Schizosaccharomyces pombe: one gene and its partners. Changing the gene in region 1 together with any one later gene gives a genetic interaction. Each region holds a gene or a part of one and is shown on either strand. Other genes may lie near its edges.

Region 1 (4,942 bases):
AAGACGTATTTTGATAAATGATTAAGGTGTTTAGTGTCTTTTATATACATAGGATGATTGTAGTGCATAGAAAATTAGGGTAAAGTTAGGTTGATCCAGTTTGCACAAGTTTGTATGGCCAATCATCAATTTTAGCAGCCACTATCCATTCACGAAGGGCTTCATGTAGCTTCTTATGGAATTTTTGACTAGATTTGTAAGTGCCTGCTTATATAAATATTGAAAAAAATTGCTTACCTGCTCTTTCGAAACCGTAACCCCATGATTCTTTCTAATCCACTTAGCTGGAGTTCCAAACGTTTTCTTTGACGTTTCTCTAAAGGTAAGCCTTCGAGTAATTCATTAATAAGATGGATGTGAGCTGCAACATAGCTGGTGGCTTCGGTTTCTATACCACCAATAAACCCCAATGGAGCCTCGTACACTTGATTATATTGTTTCTCCAAATCAATGACATTAGAATCGTGGTTCCACACCCAGAAGACATTACGGCTAACATCTTCAAGTTCGATAATCCAACGGCGAAAAGGTCGATCAACTCGAACGTTTTTTAAGAATTCAACCTCTTCATCCTTATCGTCTTTAATAGAAAACAAGGAAAAAACTTGCATTGCACCTTCTTCTTTGTCGAGATGAGCTTTGTAAAAGGAGTGAACTATTTGAACGAGTACTTCCCTTACGACAAAATCACATGGCTGTTTCTTTGAAAGCAAAAGGGAAATCAATCGCTCGACATTATAAGTGGATTGAGATAAACATTCCAATCCGCGCTAGGAAAAACGTTAGCAATTGTCAAAGGCAATGAAGACATAGGTCTAAATGTATATCACATGCATACCTGAACAGTGCACATGGCTTTAACGCAAAGTAAAAGTTGCTCCAGTATAGAATCGTGCAGTTCCTCTCTCCATTCAAGGCGAGAGATTTTGTCGATTGTACAAAATACTACACCGAAACCGCCGTTGTGTATAAACTTCTCTACCCATCTGTATTGCAGTTAGTATGAAAAACCTCAAAATAAACGAATGATTTATCATTCAATCAAAACAATAGTAGTGCCAAAAAAAAAGATAATTTAAGCATCACCACTTTGATTCACGTAGCTGCACAAAATGTAAACATACATTACTTGCTCGTTTCTGAGAAGTAGAGCTAATTTGTGTATGATAGATTCATCGATTGAGTCAATTTTTGTATTTACAATATACGAAATAAAGTCGTCAGGTTGCTCGTAACATGGTTTTTTACGCATCCAAGCAATTAATTTATTTCGCTTTTTCTGGTCTTTTTGCTGTAAACTGGACACGATTTCCATTTTAATTCCTTCATTAAGGGAAAGTAAACTCTTTGAGGCCTCTGAAGAAAGAACTTGAGGCTTGATTAAATCTTCAAAACATTGTGGCATTTCATCTTCAGAAGGGGTTGAAGGAGTCTGAAAGCTCAAGCTATCCTCTCGATCAGAAGAATTAACGCTTTCAGAGAGCCCATCAGAGCTCAAAGAGCGAGCACCTAAAAGCCGTTTTACTGAACGTAGAGAATTCATAATGTGTGTAAGGAATAGTCGTGTGGTATATTTACATAGAAATGGGAGGGCTGGTATATATTAAAATGGCACGCTGACGCGTCCGAGGAACAAGCCACAGGAACATGAAACGGACAATATCGGGAATTAATTCAATAATTAGGCTAATACGCGGAACGGTTGTTCCAATTTTTAATATGTACAATACTAAGCTATGGCCCTAGACTTAGGGAAGGAAAATAGCACATGAATGTTCGAAAAAAAAAAAGAGAAAGCTTCCGTTATTTAATAAACCATACTATTTACGCCTATCATTATTTTCATTAATAGCTATACATAGTAAATCCAACTTGCAAAATTTTGAGATTACGCGTGTTGAGTTAATGTTTGATATTGGTATATACACTATCGTATGTAAGTCAAATGAGAAGAATGGAAAAATAAGAATGTATTGAGCTTTAAGATATAGTAAATCTCGGTCTATTTTGGGTAAGAATTTTAATATGTACTTCTCAATTATCTGGAATTCACTGAAGGTTGTGAAAAGGAAAAATATTTCGGACATCCAAAATTTGCTATTATAATGAAGGTGCAACTAACTGAGTAGTAGAACCGATATCTAAAATAAATTGATTATTTGGAAATGTATGGTTAAACAAGAAGGCTCATATTACCTGAACTAACATAATGTCGTTAAAAATTACAGTTCAAAGCAGTGCTGAAATTATACTAGAATTCTGGTACATTAAAACGCGTCGCTTATAATAGAATCACTTCTTTCTATCAATAGATTAAACATACAATTTTGCTATTTCACGTAGGGATGTAGTAAAGTGAGAGAAGTAGGTGGGACATACATTTCCTACTCAGCACAACGTAACGTGCTTAGTGTCAATATCATGGGGACGAGTGGAATTGAAATATTTGCAGCTTTAAATGATTTCACAGATGGTAAGAGGCGAAAATAAACACATTGATTAACATTTTACAGCCATTGTTTCAGTCCCTGAATCAGTATGTGGAAAATTCACGAGTTTGAAAGAGATCGATGCACAAGTACGAGGTAAGTGAAATATATATTTTTAAAACGTGTGGTTAACAAAATCTTAGATATCCGTCAAAATGTCATACAGGAAATTGGTGTGGTTCTAAAAAACGAGAAAAATGACGAATTGTCAGGAGAAGAAAGATGTGAGCGATTACAAAAGACACTAAAAGAGATACTTCCATATTCTGATTCAAAGATTTGTTTGGCCACAGACGCAATGAATAATATCAAGAGTTGTATCGACCGTTTGGATGCTGGGTTTGAATATGTTGAATTGGAGATTCCCCAACAATTGAGATTGGGATATCCAGACGATCGAGCTTTAATGAATTATCATTCTACTGTGACTCCTCAAACTTCTGAAAGGAGACGGGAAACCCGTCGGCATCAAAATAACCAGCATTCCCAGCAATATTCCTCTCAGGAACGGTCGTCTTCATATAACAACTTTGAAGACGCTTCATCGCCGCAATCTTCTTATCACACCCCTACAAAGCGTCGAAAAAATGCTGTTCCTAGAAAATCATCATCACCTCCATTATCGAGTACAAAGCATGCGCCGCAATCTACGGAGAGGCGACCAGTGCGGAGATCAGAATCTCGTTTAAAACAGACAAATGGGGAACCACTTGTCAAACACGACACATTAGATTCAAGTGATATCAGCCGTGAAGGTGAGCAACTTTACTGTTACTGTCAACAAGTTTCCTATGGACAAATGATTGGATGTGATAACGAAAATTGTAAAAGAGAATGGTTCCATTTACCTTGCGTTGGTCTAGTAGAACCACCGAAGGGGATCTGGTATTGTAAAGAATGTGAAGAGTTAGCAAAATCATCTGAAAGTCGTCAATGAGCCGGGATCCTTTTTATTTTCTTTCACCTTCTTTTTATTGTTAATTTCTCAGTGTTTGACATCGTTATGAAACATCCATTACCACTGCTTGCATTGCTCTTGTTTACTGAATCAATTAAACTAACGACAACATTTCTATACCTCATAAAACCCTTATAACGATTTTTATGGTTTCGTTAAAGGATACAACCATCAGCTACGTATCTCGGTATACTATTTAATGATATGTAAAACTACGGTGTGTTTTGTTTGCAATCTACAAAAAGCGGATGCAATATGTATGAGTAAGTAATATTATAATTATTTTTATTAGAAATTTGTTAGTAACTAGTCATTGAAGTAAGGAAGCAATTTTAGGCGCAAACTTTATTAAATTTTTTCTTTGAATTTGTTTTGTTAGCTTACATACTTGTTAATAAATGGAAATTCCTTCATGCATGTTTCAAAAGCGAATTTAAATAGTATTCAAAGTAATGACAAATAGTGATACACAACATAGTGTATCATAGCTTAGTGCATTATTACTGACACACATCTATAGCAAATATATCTCTCTCGTTATTTTTTTAAGGATACCTCCTTGCATTACGTCTAAATGCTTTTACTAATGGATTTTCCAACTTATCGTTTCCCTCCTTCTCATCTAAAGTAATTCTTAAAATTGGGATTTTCTTGAATTTTAAATACTGTTTTTATTTGTGTTACAAAAAAGTTAATTAACAGTTTCTTGTCCAAATCTCGTTGAATTTTTGATCATCTGATAATGAAGTACCAATTTAACGTTGCTATGGCTTGTGATGGCTGCAAAAATGCCATCGATCGCGTTTTAACTCGTCTGGGTGCGTTTTAAAAAAAGTCATTTTTTAAGTATTTAGATTTACATTTATATAAGTATTTGTTATATATGGTTTTTCAGGAATTTTGTTGATGAATCTGTGTACTAATTAAGTAATGTCGAGTAGGTGTTGAAGACAAATCCATTTCGGTCGAAAAACAAGAGGTTATCGTTACCACAGACAAACCATATGAGCTCGTAGAACAAACGATTAAAAAAACTGGAAAGGAAGTTCGCAGCGGTAAAGTCCTAGAGTAGAGCATGGCAAAAATTACGACTTTAATCATATCTGATCGGTTCTCTCAAAAATATGCTCTTGACTTTTTTGTTGTCGCCTTATTGTTAAGATTTATATATACGACTAGACGAGGCTATTTGTTTTGTAGGATACAGCGTACTGCTTGAGCCTTTGGTGTTATTTTCCTCCAATAAATTGTGATAAACTTATAGACGTTTTCCGGTTCATTTCAATTGTCTTGGTAAGTTGAACCCCGCTTTACATGCCGTTTGTAATATTTATTGTGATCATTGTTTATTATCAGACTGCACTTTCAGTCATTTTGTTGCTATTTTTTGACTTAGGAGTTTTCACTTATTTTTTTTATTTTATTTTATACATTACATAGGCACCTCCAATTCAGGCAATAACTGTTTTCTCGGTAAATAATAGATTCACATTCA
Region 2 (5,179 bases), on another chromosome or scaffold:
CTCGTAAATAGAACCGATACCCACATAATCGGCCCCATCAGCAGCTGCTTTTTCAATTTCCTCGATATTATTAGTGGACACTCCAATAATAGCATCATCGCCAAGAATTTTTCTGGCTAATGCACAATCCATGTCGTCTTGACCAATATGAACACCGTCAGCGCCAACAGCTAATGCCACGTCAATCCTATCATTAATTAGAAAAGGCACGTCGTACTTTTTGCAAATTTCAGAAAGTCGTTTAGCACGTTCTACAAAGCATTTAGTAGAGATGTCTTTTTCTCTGTGCTGAACAAGCGTGACACCTCCCAAAATTCCCTCTTCCACCTGACGTTCTATAGTAGAACCTGGGGCAATTAAACTAGAGCTAGTTACAAGGTATAAAGAATAGTCAATTTGACGTTTCATGTTTGGTATAAAAGTTCTTATATAGAAGTCAAGTAAGTAAACAAAATCCTAGAAATGCCAGATTATGTTGCGGACACCAAAAATTTGACAGTTCAATCTTTCTATGCTAAGAAAAATGAAAATTGAATATTATCCTAATTTAATCAAGAATTTGGCGAAAGTGTTACAAACTATGTTTGCAAATTTTGCTCCATCTTTTATACTGTGTTAGTCATGGTTCGGATGCGTGCTACGACAAGTTAGTGATAACTGATTTTAATCACTCTATTAAAATGTAGTTTGTCAAATGGAACAAATACTGCATGCTTTTGAAGAAAATATATTCGCATTACTTTGAACAGGTTTTAATGAAATGAGTTTATAAAGGAACAGATATATCTTATTAAAAAGGTGCAGAATAACGTTATATTTAATTATTAAAAAGAAAAAAAAATTCATTCATTGTAATAAATACCCGTTAAAGCTATATTATTGAATAAATATGGAACAGCTTAACGTTTGAAGGTCCTAGTCTAATTCTTCTATTGCAGAAGGTGCTGCCTTTTCTAAACTTTCAATTAAAGATTCTACAAGATGAATTGACTCGTCAACGTTTGGCTCTTTTGACCATTGAAAATCGCTAAGGGATGCAATCTGACTAGAAAGAAATTATTAGCAAGCTAAATAAAGCTCAATTAAAACAACCCAAATTCCTAATCAACCTCATACCTATTCATTTTAAGAGTCAATTGTGTGCAGCGCTCTTTTTCCTCATTTAATTTTGTATAAGCAGATTGCACAGCTTCAGAAAGCCGCTCATTGATTTCACTTATGTCCAGCGGTTTTGCACTATGTGATGTGTAAAATTCTTCTACATCGTGCAATGTAGAGGCATGACTGACCGTTTGCAGTTTCTCAACATTTGTTGCCAACATCCTATCTATTCTGCTTTTGCCGATAACTTGACTCTCGAGATGGATGTTAGCTCTCAATTTTGCTAATCGCTTTTGTCTTTGTTGTGTACAGTATTCGTATAAACGCTCAATCAGTGGGTCTTCTCTGTATCTCTGAGGAAACAGTTGCCGCCATTGTTCTAAGCTTATAATAGACTGCAACCGCCCTTGAGAAAGAAGATAATCATTAAGTATTTGTTCCTCCATATTCATGAGCAACCTTTGAGATATTAGTAAATTGAATAAATGAAACGCAGCATTTGATGAAAACTCATGTAGAAAAGCTAATTTTTCCTAAAGTATCCTTTTGACTAAAGCATTTTTTATAATGCGTATTGGGACGTATTTGCTGAACATAATGAAAGTTTATTTTTAATTTATCATTAAAAATCCTAAAACAGTAACTTACTGATAGCACTTTCTCCAAGCATTTTGCAGATGAATGAATTTGTTGCTTAGATAGTATCCTGTTACACCCACCGTTTGTTAATGGGTCTAGATAATTTTTAAAACAAAATAGCTAACTCCTTCAAAGTAGGATAAATTTGCTAAGTGTACTGTTTTGGCACACGTCCTCTTACTTCTAACTCACCACCATACCTACAACGTTGTTGGAATGGCCGTGTCATATAAGGTGAATGAACGTGTACTATGCTTTCACGGCCCGTTACTCTATGAGGCTAAAATTGTTGATACTGAAATGAAAGGTGATGTTACCACGTACCTGATTCATTATAAAGGATGGAAAAACAGTTGGGATGAATGGGTTGAACAAGATAGGATACTACAATGGACAGAAGAAAATTTAAAGACTCAGAAAGAGTTAAAAAATGCCGCTATCTCTACGAGACAAAAACCGACTTCTAAAAAGTCCGCATCCAGCACTTCGAAACATGACTCAACTGGAGTTAAAACATCAGGAAAGAGGTCTCGAGAATCGAGCACCGTAACGGTTGATGGCGATTCACATGAATTGCCTTCACGTATAAAAACCCAAAAATCAGAGTCTCCAATTCCTCAACAAGTGAAACGCGATGGAACAACCGATGCTAAAAACGAGGAAACTACTAAGCCCGAGAATAACGAGAAAGACGATTTTGAGGAAGAGCCACCGCTTCCAAAACACAAGATTAGTGTCCCGGACGTTCTAAAGCTATGGCTTGTTGATGACTGGGAAAACATTACCAAAAATCAACAGTTAATAGCTATACCGCGGAATCCCACCGTCCGGGCTGCTATAGCGGCCTTCCGAGAATCCAAGATTTCTCATTTGAACAATGAAATAGACGTTGATGTTTTTGAACAAGCGATGGCTGGTTTGGTTATATACTTTAATAAGTGCTTGGGCAATATGCTGCTGTATCGGTTTGAACGGCAGCAATATTTAGAAATTCGGCAGCAATATCCTGATACTGAAATGTGTGATTTATATGGCGTCGAACATTTAATTCGCTTGTTTGTAAGCCTTCCTGAATTGATTGACCGGACTAATATGGATTCACAATCCATCGAGTGTTTGTTGAATTACATTGAAGAATTCTTGAAGTATGTTTACTGCTTTTAAACTCCCCTACTATACTAACCATTTATTTAGGTATCTCGTTCTACATAAAGATGAATATTTTATTAAAGAATATCAAAACGCCCCTCCAAACTATAGATCTTTGGTTGGTGTATAAAATTATGATCGTTTGCATCTATCCCAAAGATAACTAAAACGGTAATCTAAAATATATACGTTTTCTTTTTGAGATATAATACACTATTATCTATAGAATGCAGTAGGACCAACATAAGGCATTCAGAGAATTCATGCAATTATTATGTTGTTCCTTAATATTCAGATATTAATCATTTTGCTCTTCAAAGAGACAATTTGCTTCTGCAAATTGCCAATTGGAGTATCAAATTCTAAAGATCCAGAAATTTGACTTCCAAACTGATAAAGTTCTGCATTTACGACACCTTTCATTGCCTGGATGCTCAGGTCTAACGAACTTTCTGCCGGGATACACTGCTGCTCCTGTTCAGTTATATTGGCAACTCTTCTCAATTTTTCTTTAATACAACTCCATTTTTCTATTGTTTTTAAAATTTTTTTATCGTCAACCCGATGTTGTAATGTATCAGTCCGCTTATTGAATCCATCCATAAAATTGTAATAAAGCTTTATGAGTGCCCGTCTAAGGGCCAATGTGTATAACCATTGAGGACGTATGTAATACTAGAATTTGGTGAGTTGGACGTAAATAAGAACCAGTAAATATAAAAACTAACCACAACTTGCTAAGAATGTGTACTTACTTTTGTAATAACGAAAGTCGAGAGACCACTGATAGAAAAAGTATATAATATGTAAATTAAGAAGGACAATAAGCTGGACGAAACTTGTATATTATCTGGAAAAGCTTTAACAGGCGGATTTTCTTTAGGAAGCAAAGGACTTTTGCTTTGAACAGCACTGTTCGAACTCATTTTTAGAATGATCGAAAATTTTGCACTAGTGAAAATATGGATATCAAACCAGTTGAAGAAGAAAATGATAAGCGTAAAAAAGATGGTTAAGCATATAGTGTTGCGGAATAAGTAGTTTGATTGTTCGAAATTAATACGAAGCAGTAAAAAGCAACTTTGCAAAATTAACAGAACAAATGAAATGAATAAGTTTGTTATATCTAACGGATTGTTATTAAAATGTATCAAGTTTCCAATCTCGATTTAAAATGTGGCGTGCACAACGGTGAATTGTTGACGGTCCTTTTACCCAATATAATGGATTCTGGTAATGCGACAGAATTAGGAATTGGAGTAGAAGAGTGGCATAAACGGCGCTCTTCATGGCTTTTAGGGAAAAAATCTACCGAAGAAACTGATTCATCGAATGAAGTTGTAGTTCCTGAAAATGTATATCTCAATGTTTATGAAGCACTAGTCTATCGAAGGCAAAAGTTGAAGCGTCCGGTCAAATTAAGCATTGTAGTAAGTTGAGTCGGTTATTATTTTTTTCCTTTTTTAAAATTCTATCTTTGTTTGCGTTTTTTTGCTACTTTACTAAAACTTTTTTTCACCAGATTGCTGTTCTTAAAGCCGGTTGGATTCGAGATGGATTTTGGCCAGCTCCCAGCAATAGCAATGGAGTTTCTGTACCTCCTTGAAAAGTCATTATTAATGACCTTATTTCTGTTGCTACTTGGAAAGCAAAAAATTTCTTATATCCCTGTTTATTGTTTAAAACTTTGGTGTAATTATTGGTAACAATTGGATATCGAGCATAAAGTATTGAGATATATCCTAATTGAATAAATAATAAATGGTTTTCAATGACATTATTATTAACTGGAACTAACATTAGCAAACTTTTTACCCGGGAAATAAACAAGAGTAGAGAAAGCAACTATTTAACTAATAATATAAAGCAAAATCTTCTCATATTATTTATATTATAGAGTTGAGCAATCCAGTTTATTAAGAAAGTTATTTCTTTACTATTTAACTCTCCTATATGCTACAATCAAGAGCTGTTTAAGGTAGCAATTGCTAATGTATTAAATATTTTTATGACATTCAACGAGCTCTTGAGTTAGCGAATGTCATACTAAACCAGACCTTGTTCTTGAACATATTCTCCTTTGTTTTTCAGTTATATTTCTCTTAATCAATTTTTTTCTGGACCAAATTTACGTTTTAGCACAAAGTTATTTTGTCTGATGCTTATTGAAGGGTAATGCATAGAGCATTTTCATTATACCGTGTTTTAGAGCTATCAAAAGCTCGGGTTGAATGCGTTTTTGAGTTAGGTATGATTTATTTTACTTTTGGACCTTAATGCTAATGGATAA
Region 3 (5,488 bases), on another chromosome or scaffold:
AGGAAGAGCCTTTAAACTCGGTTGGATTAAGAAAGATGGAGACAAGCTTGTTAAAAATGTAAGGCAAAGTTATAGTAGTGCAAATTGATTTAACGTTATGCAATATTTTATTTACTAACTGACCAGACTGATTCCATTACAGATGAGACCCCTAAGGTCCTTAGTGAAATTAAGGAACATGGAACTATCTCTGACAGTAAGACGTTAACTGATTTGAAGAAGAGAAAGCTTGTTGAACGTAACAAAATTATGTACTTCTCTTTGAGGAAAGGTCCAAATTTCTCGCTTCAAATTGAAAAACTGAACACCGATTTAACTGCTGAGATGATCACCTCTCGATCATGGGAAAGTGCCAAGTTTAAATCTTACAACTTTGCAGCTGAAGGTATACCTCCAGCTGGTGGATGTCTTCATCCTTTGATGAAAGTACGTGAAGAATTCCGTAAATTTTTCTTCGAATTGGGTTTTGAAGAAATGCCAACCAACAATTTTGTTGAAAGTGGATTTTGGAACTTTGATGCTTTATTTGTCCCCCAACAACATTCAGCAAGGGATGCTCAAGATACTTTCTTTTTGAAAGTTCCTGCTTCTACTGATAAATTGCCAGATCCCGAATATGTTGCTCGAGTAAAGGCCACTCACGAAAACGGTGGTGAGACTAAGGGCATTGGATACCGTGCTCCCTTTTCCTTGGAGGAAACTCGTAAACTAGTTCTTCGTACTCATACTACTGCTGTCTCGGCGAATATGTTGTACAAACTTGCCCAAAATGGCTTTCACCCTGCTAAATACTTCTCAATTGATCGGGTCTTCCGCAATGAAACCGTTGACGCAACTCATCTTGCCGAATTTCATCAAGTCGAAGGCGTAATCTGCGATAGAAATATTACCCTCGGTGATTTGATCGGTTTCCTTGAGGTGTTCTTTGGAAAAATGAACGTTAAAAATTTGCGCTTCAAACCTGCTTATAATCCTTATACTGAACCTTCATTGGAAGTCTTTTCCTACCACGAAAAGCTTGGTAAGTGGGTTGAAGTCGGAAACAGCGGCATGTTCCGTCCGGAGATGTTAGAGCCTATGGGATTACCTAAAGATGTTCGTTGTTTAGGTTTTGGTCTTTCTTTAGAGCGCCCCACTATGATCAAATATGGTGTGGCCGACATTAGACAATTGATTGGTCCTAAGGTTAACTTGGACCTAATTGAGGCTAGCCCTGCAGTTCGTTTAGACAAAGAGGAATAAATTTAGTGTTTTTTTTTGCATAATCGTTTATAAAAATAATACATAATCACTATGGTAAACGTATTTTCGTATAGGGTCAATTATTAATATTTACAATGTCTATAAACATTAACTAAAATTATTTGATGTTTGTACGGATATCAAATAAAAAGTCGAAAATTCATTAATATCAGCCTCGAACGCGAACATCCACAGCTTTGTCTAAGTATTCATCATTCAACCGTTCGTCTTCTTCTTCCAAATGCCCAGTTAAGTCTGGTGGAATTTGCTGCATCTGAACGCTTGGCGCTCCTCCTAAGTAACGTAATTGCTCCAAGGCCCGTATTCGAAGATCTTCAAGAGCTTTCGGTGTATTTTTATTTTCTATCTTCGTGGTTAATCGCGGATGGAGGGTGTAATCTGGTGCGAAAAATTCGTAATACAAAGTTTCACGAGGTAATTCTGAAGGTATTTGTTCGTTTACACATATGGAAGTTTCATAACACCACGCTCTAGCAACATTTCTAAGAGTATAACCACCACCTCCAACTACAAGCATGGGTATATTGAATGAACGGGTAAATCTAACACATTCCCCATGTGCATGGATGCTCAGATTGAACACGCCGAGCCGATCATAACCAAGCGAATCAGCACCACACTGAAGGACAATTGCAGAAGGTTGAAAAGTATTGATAGTTGGTTCAATTATGGATTTGAAAAGACTAGTGTACTGTTCATCACCAATACCATCTTCCAAAGGAACGTTTAAAGCAAAATATTTCCCTCCTTTCACGCCATTTTCATCAAAATTACCAGTTGCAGGAAAAAAATCACCATTATACTTGTGAAAAGAAACCGTCAACACGCGGTCAGATTCATAGAATGCTTGCTGCACACCATCTCCATGATGAATATCGATATCGATATACAAAACGCGAGGAAAAAACCGTAGCATGTTCAAAATTGCTAGAACAATATCATTAACATAGCAGAATCCACTAGCCTCACCACGCTTTGCATGATGGAGACCACCGCTCCAATTGATAGCAATGTCTGTTTGACCTTGCACTAACTTCCGAGAAGCATCCAAACTAGCGCCTGCCGACCTTTGAGAAAATTCATAAGTGCCGTCAAAGACCGGACAGTCATCACCAATATTGAATTGTTGGAACTTATCAGCAAATTGTTCAGCATTATCAGGAGTAACGCGCTTAAGGAAATCCAAATAATCCTCCCTATGAAATTCTGACATTTCACCAAAAGTTGCCATCCGGGGGCTGAATACACTCATTTTGTTATGCAACCCATAACCCATCACTAAATGATTTGTAATGGTAATTCGATGGGGCTTCATTGGATGTTTGTCACCATAGTGGTAGTTTCCCACCTGTTCATCTAAGTGATATGTGACACGCTTTTTTTGAGGTCGAAAGCTAAAAAAAGACCCCTTTTCAACTTGTTCATAAGGTGTGGATGTCTCAGGAGTATCCATGATATACAGACTATTATACTAAAAAAAACCGCGAGACAAATTAAATGAAAATATCTTTTCTAAAGAAAGAACAAGAAAAGAATAAATAAAATTAAGAAACAAATTAATAACTGTTTCAGAAGAAACAAGAGAAATGAAAGTTATTGACCAATGCCAAATTAATATAAATCGAAAAACAACCCAGATTTTTTTATAGAAAAGAATTCAATCCAAATAATAAACAGCAACACGAACTGTAAATACTTTATTTTTACGTCGAGCGCAGAATACGTAGCAAAAGGTCGCTAAACCCGATACCTTATTAGATAAAATGTACAACTTCAACAAAGCGTTAATTCAAACTCTTTGAAGCCCATAAACACAAGAACAAATAGGATTTACAATTTTTTGAAGAATTGCTAGTGCTGGTTCATTCTTATAACTTAAAAATGTATATCTCAGTGAACACAGAAGGAAGCTACCAACTTAGGTGTAGTTTAGTATGTTATGCTTCCATATATGAACTAACACATTAATAACGTATCGTTATTACTTAAACAGATGGTAACCTTTAGCATGTGAATTCATAGACAATTTGGCAACTTAGATATCATACATACGTTGAAAAGATTTATCTTCAAAGTGATTTGGTTTGCGTGAATTCTTATGTTTTTATTTCGCCCTCTTTGCCTTCCAGTACTGTGTTTACATTATATGGAGTGGCGGAACTCAACACCAAATGTGGGCTACTATAAACAACCGGAAAAATTTTCAGCAGCTTAAGAGAGTGTAAAAATAATCTTTAAACGACACAAAAACGAGCCATAGGTTCATATATATTATTTCAATTAGTGTCTTTGTCCTTCTCGTTTGTACATTTATTGTCACATTCCTCTACTTTAAAAGATAAAGTCATAGTATCTTTTATTCATTAGTTATTGAAGTATCGAAAATATTAGTGGAATATCAACTTTCCCTATCTCTTTAAAAGACTCAAATCTCCCTTTCTTTTGGAATTTGAAATCATAATAATAATTTTTGCATAAAGCGGAAATTAGAACGTATCTATAATTTTCAATTTGAGAATAATGGCAGATGATACAGCTTACATACTAAGTGAGTATTTGCAAACGTTGGATAATGTTCCCAACGAAACAAAACACATCTTTGACGAAATTAGTGTGAAGGAAGTTGCTGTACATGACATCTGGAAGAGAATTCAAGCAGCTGATTCTCAGATTCAGTCATACATTAAATCACATGGTTCCTTGACCCCACATCCAAAAGAAGATGCTTTGTATTCGACGATTCGCGAGGAGTATCAAAAGGCAATTAATATACAGAACGAGAAAGTCCAGTTGGCGGATCGTGCCAGATTGGGACTTACACGGCACATAAAGCGATTGGATGATAGACTTGCAAAGGCCGGTCATGGATTTACAGCTGCGGAATTGTTAAATGCTCCTGACTACTATGCTTCTTCACCGTATGGTGGATACAGTCCAAGTGGTGCCTCAAGTGCTCGTCAAACACCGGCCCCTTCTCGGTCGGGAGCCTCAACAGCTGGTCGCCGTCGTACTTCAGCAACTACCAGGGGTGCAATTCAAAATGGAGTCTATCACTCTCCTTATACGGCTTCGTTGGCAGATTCTGGTTCAACTCGCGGTCAGAAGGTTTCGAATGCCACTGCAACCACCCAGTTAGAAACTAAGGCAGATTCCACAACGCCGAATGAAATGGTCTCAGAAGAAGATATGGAAGAGGATAATGAAAAGTATTGTTTTTGCCAGCAAGGATCATATGGGCAAATGGTCGCTTGTGACAATGCTAATTGTGAGCGTGAATGGTTCCATATGGAGTGTGTTGGTCTTAAAGCTCCTCCTGAAGGTACATGGTATTGCGAAGCTTGTAGGGATCAGAAGCTTGTTGATGCTAAGTAATTTTTCCCCAATCTAAAGTCTGTTGGTCTTCCCATTATTGAATGCAAGCATTGTTGTTTTTTTTTGGGCTTTAATATCCGCTAATTTTTCACCTGTTCCGAACTTACTATATTTGATTATACGTTGTTCAAGCTGTGTATATGTGATTTGCAAAATGGTTAATTTATTAATCATATCTTCACGATTACGAATCCTTTTTATCTTATTCTTGTCCTTGTTTGTTTTTCACTCACATAATAAGTACCAGATTACTTGTACATTAAGAAATTCAGTTCTTTAATTTCCCCAATCCTCCCCAAAGCAGATATTACACGCCGTAGCTAACCACAGTAATAAGTCTTTTGTAACTTTATTATTTGTAATTGCATTTGTTGTCCATTATTTCTACTATATTGGAACTGAACTTATTATTGTACATACAAAGGAACAAGATGCAGCGTCTAGCGTTTTCATATTATCTCGTAACATATAAAAGAACTCTTACGCATTCGGAAAAAAGAAGAGGAAATTTTTTAACCATAGATATCACTAGATAAATTTGATAAAGTGTATAGTACAAAATAAAAAGAACCCCAGATTATAATGGAACACTAAAGTGCCAAAAATTCACAATGAAAAAGCGTATATTAGCTAGTGTCTAATCCATTTACTCAGAACCGCTTTGGTCATCCTCTTCATCACCAGAGATTTCAGCATTTTCCTTTTCAAATTTTTTCATCAAATCGGCAAGCTCCAATTCGTCAGTTTCACTAACCGCCTTGGGTTTCATTTTAACAGTACAGGTACCATTGGATGCTGTAATGGATTTTTCGATTGCACCAATTGCCTCTTCTAGCTTTTTGAGACCCAATGA
Region 4 (4,730 bases), on another chromosome or scaffold:
AATATTTGAAAACAACAAAGAATTTCTCTTTGTTTTCTCGTTCCTTCTATACCTTATTCCACAGGCCAGTTTTCGTAGTAGAGCAGGTTTTTGAATGGATCCATTGAGTCTATATTATGGAGCAACAAAGTAATTTAGAAAAAGACCTCTCGGTCTCATCCTTTCTTGATGAAAAGGAAAAGTCGGGATACAAGCAATCTGTAAGATTAGTTTCCAATGACCCTTCTGCCTCACCGGCTGCTACGCATAAACCACCGTTCATCAGTGCGGCTTTGATGCTGTTAAATAACACAATTCTTTGCATTTCATTCACCATTGTCGTTCCTACGTCCGAGAGATTTGTCCAACATCTGGGGGGAGGAAATGGTTTGTCCGGTGTAATTATCGGATTGCCCACAATCACTGCCCTTGTGTTGCTGTATCCCATGTTGAGATTCTCGACTCCGAAAGCTGCCAAGGGATATACGATTTATAGAAGACCATATACAATGTCGTGTATAAGCTGCATTATTGGTCATATCATGTATGCACTCGCAGATAAAGCCAAAAGTGTGGCCTTGATTCTTGTGAGTCGTATTTTTACGGGTGTTGCGTGTACCATGTTTTTATACCACAAGCGCTATTTCACAGATAAAGCCTTGATCAGCATCAAATATAGAACGTCGATGGGTGTGGTCAACTCAGTCATGGCAACGCTTGGTTTGACAGCTGGTCCATTCATCGGAGGATTAATGGCCAAGTCTTCAATGAAGTCTCAAAGCGATATCTGGAATGAATATACTTCGGGTAACTGGCTAATGGCTTTCATTTGGGTAGGCTTGTTTTTGTTTGGCTTTGCTTGTTTCCGGGAGGTTTTGAGCCCGCAAACGGACGTAAAGGAAGAAGTAGTCGAAGAGAAGCATGTCATTAATGATGTCAAACAGGATACCAATTCAAAACTAGGATTTGTGGGGTGTCTTGTTATTTTCGTTGTCGCTTTCTCTGGCTTCTCTGCTTACTTTCTATTAAATGCATACCAAGCATCTGTTCCAATTTACACTTCTATGCTTTATAATTATTCATCCTTCCAAGCAGGTAACTTCCTTTCTTTGGCTGGAATTATCAACGTACCCTTGCTTTTAATATTTTCCTATTTGACGCGTTACTTGACTGACAGAGATATCATATTGTTGGGTTGTTGTTTAAACATCGTATGCATGGTTATTCATATAACTATTCACTATACAGGCAAGGAATTCGTACAACCTTACTTTATTATTTACACCCTTGTTTTTTTTGGATCTTCTATTGCTAATTCCCCTTCGGTCTCTTTATTGACAAAGGTTTTACATCCTAAGTACCACCTGATAGGTAACGTCGCTGTGCAAATATCAATTTCCTTATCCGACACAGTTGGTGCTATCTTTGGCGGTGCATTTCGCTCGTTCTCACCTGTTGTTTTTTTTGCGGTATGCTTAATATTAAACGTTATGTCTGTGCTTGCACTATTGATTATATGGAAGAAACTTAAGGTCAAGTTGCGCCTTGCATAATTCACTGGTAACTCAATGGTTAGGTTGCTCTCTATTTTTTTTTTTTTTTTTAATTTTTTTACAAGGGGGGGTTGATTTGTTGTTTATTTATAAATTTGTAAGTTGTGTTCCTTACAAATAAATCTAATACCAAATGGCTAATTAAATTGAAATAATGTTGCTAAATCTTTAATTATAATGAAATTAATTGATGAAATATACGTTAAAAGCCAAATGAGTTCGAATTTTTTATCTTAAATACTTTTTATTTTTTATCTATAGTGTGCCCATAGGTGCCTGCCCTTCAATTAACACATAGAGAGGTATGCCATTATGATCAATTAGACAAACAACCTATAAAAATCATCTACAGGAAAACATCAAAGGTACTTTCGTTAATAAAACATCTAAAAATTAAGAATATAATTATTGGTTCTTTTTTTCCTTCAAAGATGGAATGGCTCCCAGTTCTATAGCTAGCTGCTCATTTGACTGTAGAACAGGGTCATTTGTTGTCCATGTATATATTATTTGTCGAGTATGATTCTTTGAAGTTCGTACGGGTTGTGCAGATAGATAGCGGACATAAAGAAACGTATCTGCTACTAGAACCAAGATTGCTGAAAACGCACATAGCGCAATTTTCTAAATAATATTAAGTCAATACAAAGGTCTCCCAGGAACAAAACGAAAGTTTTTAATTCATACCTTTTCAATAGATAAAGATGAAGTGCAGTACCAAACAGCGGTCACCGTTCCTACTACTGTGAAGAGTATATTGATTATAGCGCTGATTTGGTTTTTCATTAGTCGTAACTCTGATTTTTTTTCTCTCTCAGGGTCCATGGATACGCCTGCCATTGATGGAAGCAGAGGAATACCATCATATAGCTCTTTCTCCTTTAAGATAGAAGTAGTTGTATTGTCTTGAGTATGGCTGTTTTCATCAATTTCGCCCAAGAAGACACTGTCGCTCGGCACAATCTGTACACCTCGAAGAAATTCCAAAAAATTGATATTCCTGTTATGTAATCGTAATTCCTTTAACATTTTTACCAGCTCAAATCCATCGACAGTTAATTTATTACACCGTAAGTCTGTCTGCTGTTTTTCGGAGAGCCTGTACAGCATTTTTGCAATAATGAGTCAATTTGACAATTTCGAAGGTATTAAAAAAGTAGAAGGGTAAGTAATAATGCTATGAAGTCTAGAAAGCAATCAAAAACGATTCATATAGTCCGAATTGCGTGAAACAGGATCAATCTAGGTTGGTTGACGATATTTGCTAAATTTCTATTGAGTTTTCTAAATGAAATAATTAAACCAATATTTTAATGTCTAATACTACGTTTTATATTGACCAACAAACAAACATGGAGACAGTGGTACATCCAAGTATTTGCAAAAGTCAAAGTTACGCAACGTAATACATAGCGTCCTATAAGAGGCAAAAAATGAAAATATGAAAGTTCCTCAACTTTTTTTGAAATCACCGTTTTGGTAATTAGCATCATAATTTTATTCTTCACCCTCGCTAACACTGTGCTAGGCCAAGCAGAATTGTAGACTTCCTCGTTCAGTGAGGTATAGAAGAATGGTACACGCTACTGTGATATTATATCTTTCTATGAAGTGACATAAATCTTGGTAACTGAACATTCAGTTTAATTTAGCGCCGCAATTGCTCTCGGGTATTTCATACAAACGATATTCAAAGATTATTTATTGGAATTTCAATATAATATTAAGAAGTAAATGCTACTAGCTTTGTTGGCTCTATGAGTTTTATATAACTTACGCAATTATTACTTGCGTCTATGGTTTCAAAATGTGTCCCAGTATGCTCATTCAGCGCTTGGAAAGCTAAAGGTTCAAGAATTTTTATGACTTTGGGTTGAATACTGAGATACTTCATGTTCAAAAATACCAGCGTTTCAACGGCGTTCAATTCTTCCATGTTGCACCATCCAAAGTACTTTTTTTTGCGAATTTATTTACGACAAACTTGGCTTACGTAAACTTTGGGGTAGCAAAATTCATATCGCCGCAGAACAGTTTGCAAGAACAAATATAAACCTAAAGAGGTACGGGTGAACAAATAGGTATTCGAATTAGGAAATGAAAAGTTCGAAGCTGAAGGAAGCTTAATTACGAAGACAGAATCAAATAAAGATAACTTCCTCCAGTATAGTTTTCATTTTTCCGAACGTCCATATCGTCTTTGCCTCTGCACCATTAAATTCGAATTTTTTCAACGATTTTCAAAGCTCACTATACCATATAACGTAATCTGAAGAAAGAAAGTTCCACTGATGCATGGACGCTATTTAGGTTTTTGCCCTTTATCTTTCATCTGATCTTACAAAGTCGCTTGAACCACGCTATCCTATATACCGAAGCAAAGGCCAACGAAAACAACTACGTTAATACCTGCTATATTGACTAAAAGAATGATATTTCACTTGGCAGCATTCGTTAGCTTTAGCTAGGAAATTTACGATTATTTAAAAAACCCATTCTTGTAATGCTCTTCTCATTTATTAATCTCATCATTTTCACTTCCAAAGATATAACGACTGAGGCGTAAAGCTACGCTACCACTTCCTATCAGTAAATTGTGCGACTTTACTATACGTTCTTCAAACTTCGTTATTTCCCCACCAAAAGACTTACTTGCAGAAAATTTTCTCTTTGTCACTGCTACACCCCGTTTACCACTACTCCGTTCTCCTTGGTCGTTTACTTCATTTTTGTCGAAGTAATCACAGCTATTGATTGCAATTTCAATTTATAAGAAACTGCAATAAGAGCTTAGAAGGAGCCTAATCCGTTTTCCTTTTTTTTTTTAATCTCCGCTAAATCCCTGCAGGTTTGAACTAATCAGTTTTCAGGAAGTAATTTAGAAAAGGTTCTACTCTCCTCCTAGAAACGCATATGTGTCCTATTCAATTAACCAATACTATTCCAGTGACATCTATGGCTTACAATCACTTCAGCATTCCTAAAAACATCGAGGAAAAAGAGAACTCTTTTTTTGACGTAACGTTTCAAGACGAACCCGACGAAACCACTTCTACTGCTACTGGCATTGCTAAAGTTTCCATACCTACTCCAAAGCCCTCTACACCTCTATCGACTCTTACTAACGGTTCTACTATTCAACAGTCCATGACCAACCAACCCGAACCAACGTCTCAAGTGCCTCCCATCTCTGCCAAG

The links.
Region 2: of png2 (region 1) and alp13, changing one suppresses a phenotype caused by changing the other (phenotypic suppression), as found in Schizosaccharomyces pombe (2 studies listed by BioGRID, with this or other methods).
Region 3: mutations in png2 (region 1) and hos2 together harm fitness more than expected from each alone (negative genetic interaction), as found in Schizosaccharomyces pombe (3 studies listed by BioGRID, with this or other methods).
Region 4: mutations in png2 (region 1) and vph2 together harm fitness more than expected from each alone (negative genetic interaction), as found in Schizosaccharomyces pombe (2 studies listed by BioGRID).

Annotation. Positions count from the first base shown.
Region 1 is NC_003423.3:1,119,429-1,124,370, reverse strand, and holds png2 (chromatin modification family protein Png2), read left to right. Parts: upstream 1-2,409; 5' UTR 2,410-2,421; coding exon 2,422-2,473; exon of another isoform or gene 2,474-2,513; coding exon 2,514-2,585; exon of another isoform or gene 2,586-2,632; coding exon 2,633-3,426; 3' UTR 3,427-3,710; intron 3,711-3,766; 3' UTR 3,767-3,789; downstream 3,790-4,942. Other genes in the region: GTPase-binding protein Rid1, read right to left, coding at 86-188, 238-770, 839-986, 1,125-1,543; Cu chaperone Atx1, read left to right, coding at 4,190-4,265, 4,389-4,519.
Region 2 is NC_003424.3:1,585,329-1,590,507, reverse strand, and holds alp13 (Clr6 histone deacetylase complex, chromodomain subunit Alp13/Eaf3), read left to right. Parts: upstream 1-1,930; 5' UTR 1,931-1,956; coding exon 1,957-2,885; intron 2,886-2,934; coding exon 2,935-3,019; 3' UTR 3,020-3,180; downstream 3,181-5,179. Other genes in the region: thi4 (bifunctional thiamine-phosphate dipyrophosphorylase/hydroxyethylthiazole kinase), read right to left, coding at 1-408; centromere localized protein Cnl2, read right to left, coding at 916-1,045, 1,117-1,553; SPOM_SPAC23H4.13C (uncharacterized protein), read right to left, coding at 3,181-3,564, 3,645-3,815; SPOM_SPAC23H4.21 (uncharacterized protein), read left to right, coding at 4,035-4,319, 4,412-4,495; guanyl-nucleotide exchange factor Vam6, read left to right, coding at 5,065-5,137.
Region 3 is NC_003424.3:3,167,338-3,172,825, reverse strand, and holds hos2 (class 1 histone deacetylase Hos2), read right to left. Parts: upstream 3,156-5,488; 5' UTR 2,717-3,155; coding exon 1,412-2,716; 3' UTR 1,314-1,411; downstream 1-1,313. Other genes in the region: phenylalanine--tRNA (Phe) ligase alpha subunit Frs2, read left to right, coding at 1-58, 127-1,242; png1 (chromatin modification-related protein), read left to right, coding at 3,784-4,635; tif211 (translation initiation factor eIF2 alpha subunit), read right to left, coding at 5,282-5,488.
Region 4 is NC_003421.2:66,443-71,172, reverse strand, and holds vph2 (V-ATPase assembly protein), read right to left. Parts: upstream 2,922-4,730; 5' UTR 2,643-2,921; coding exon 2,220-2,642; intron 2,157-2,219; coding exon 1,938-2,156; 3' UTR 1,694-1,937; downstream 1-1,693. Other genes in the region: SPOM_SPCC757.11C (transporter), read left to right, coding at 117-1,532; RNA-binding protein Rnc1, read left to right, coding at 4,488-4,730. UniProt on the Schizosaccharomyces pombe protein: Required for vacuolar ATPase assembly.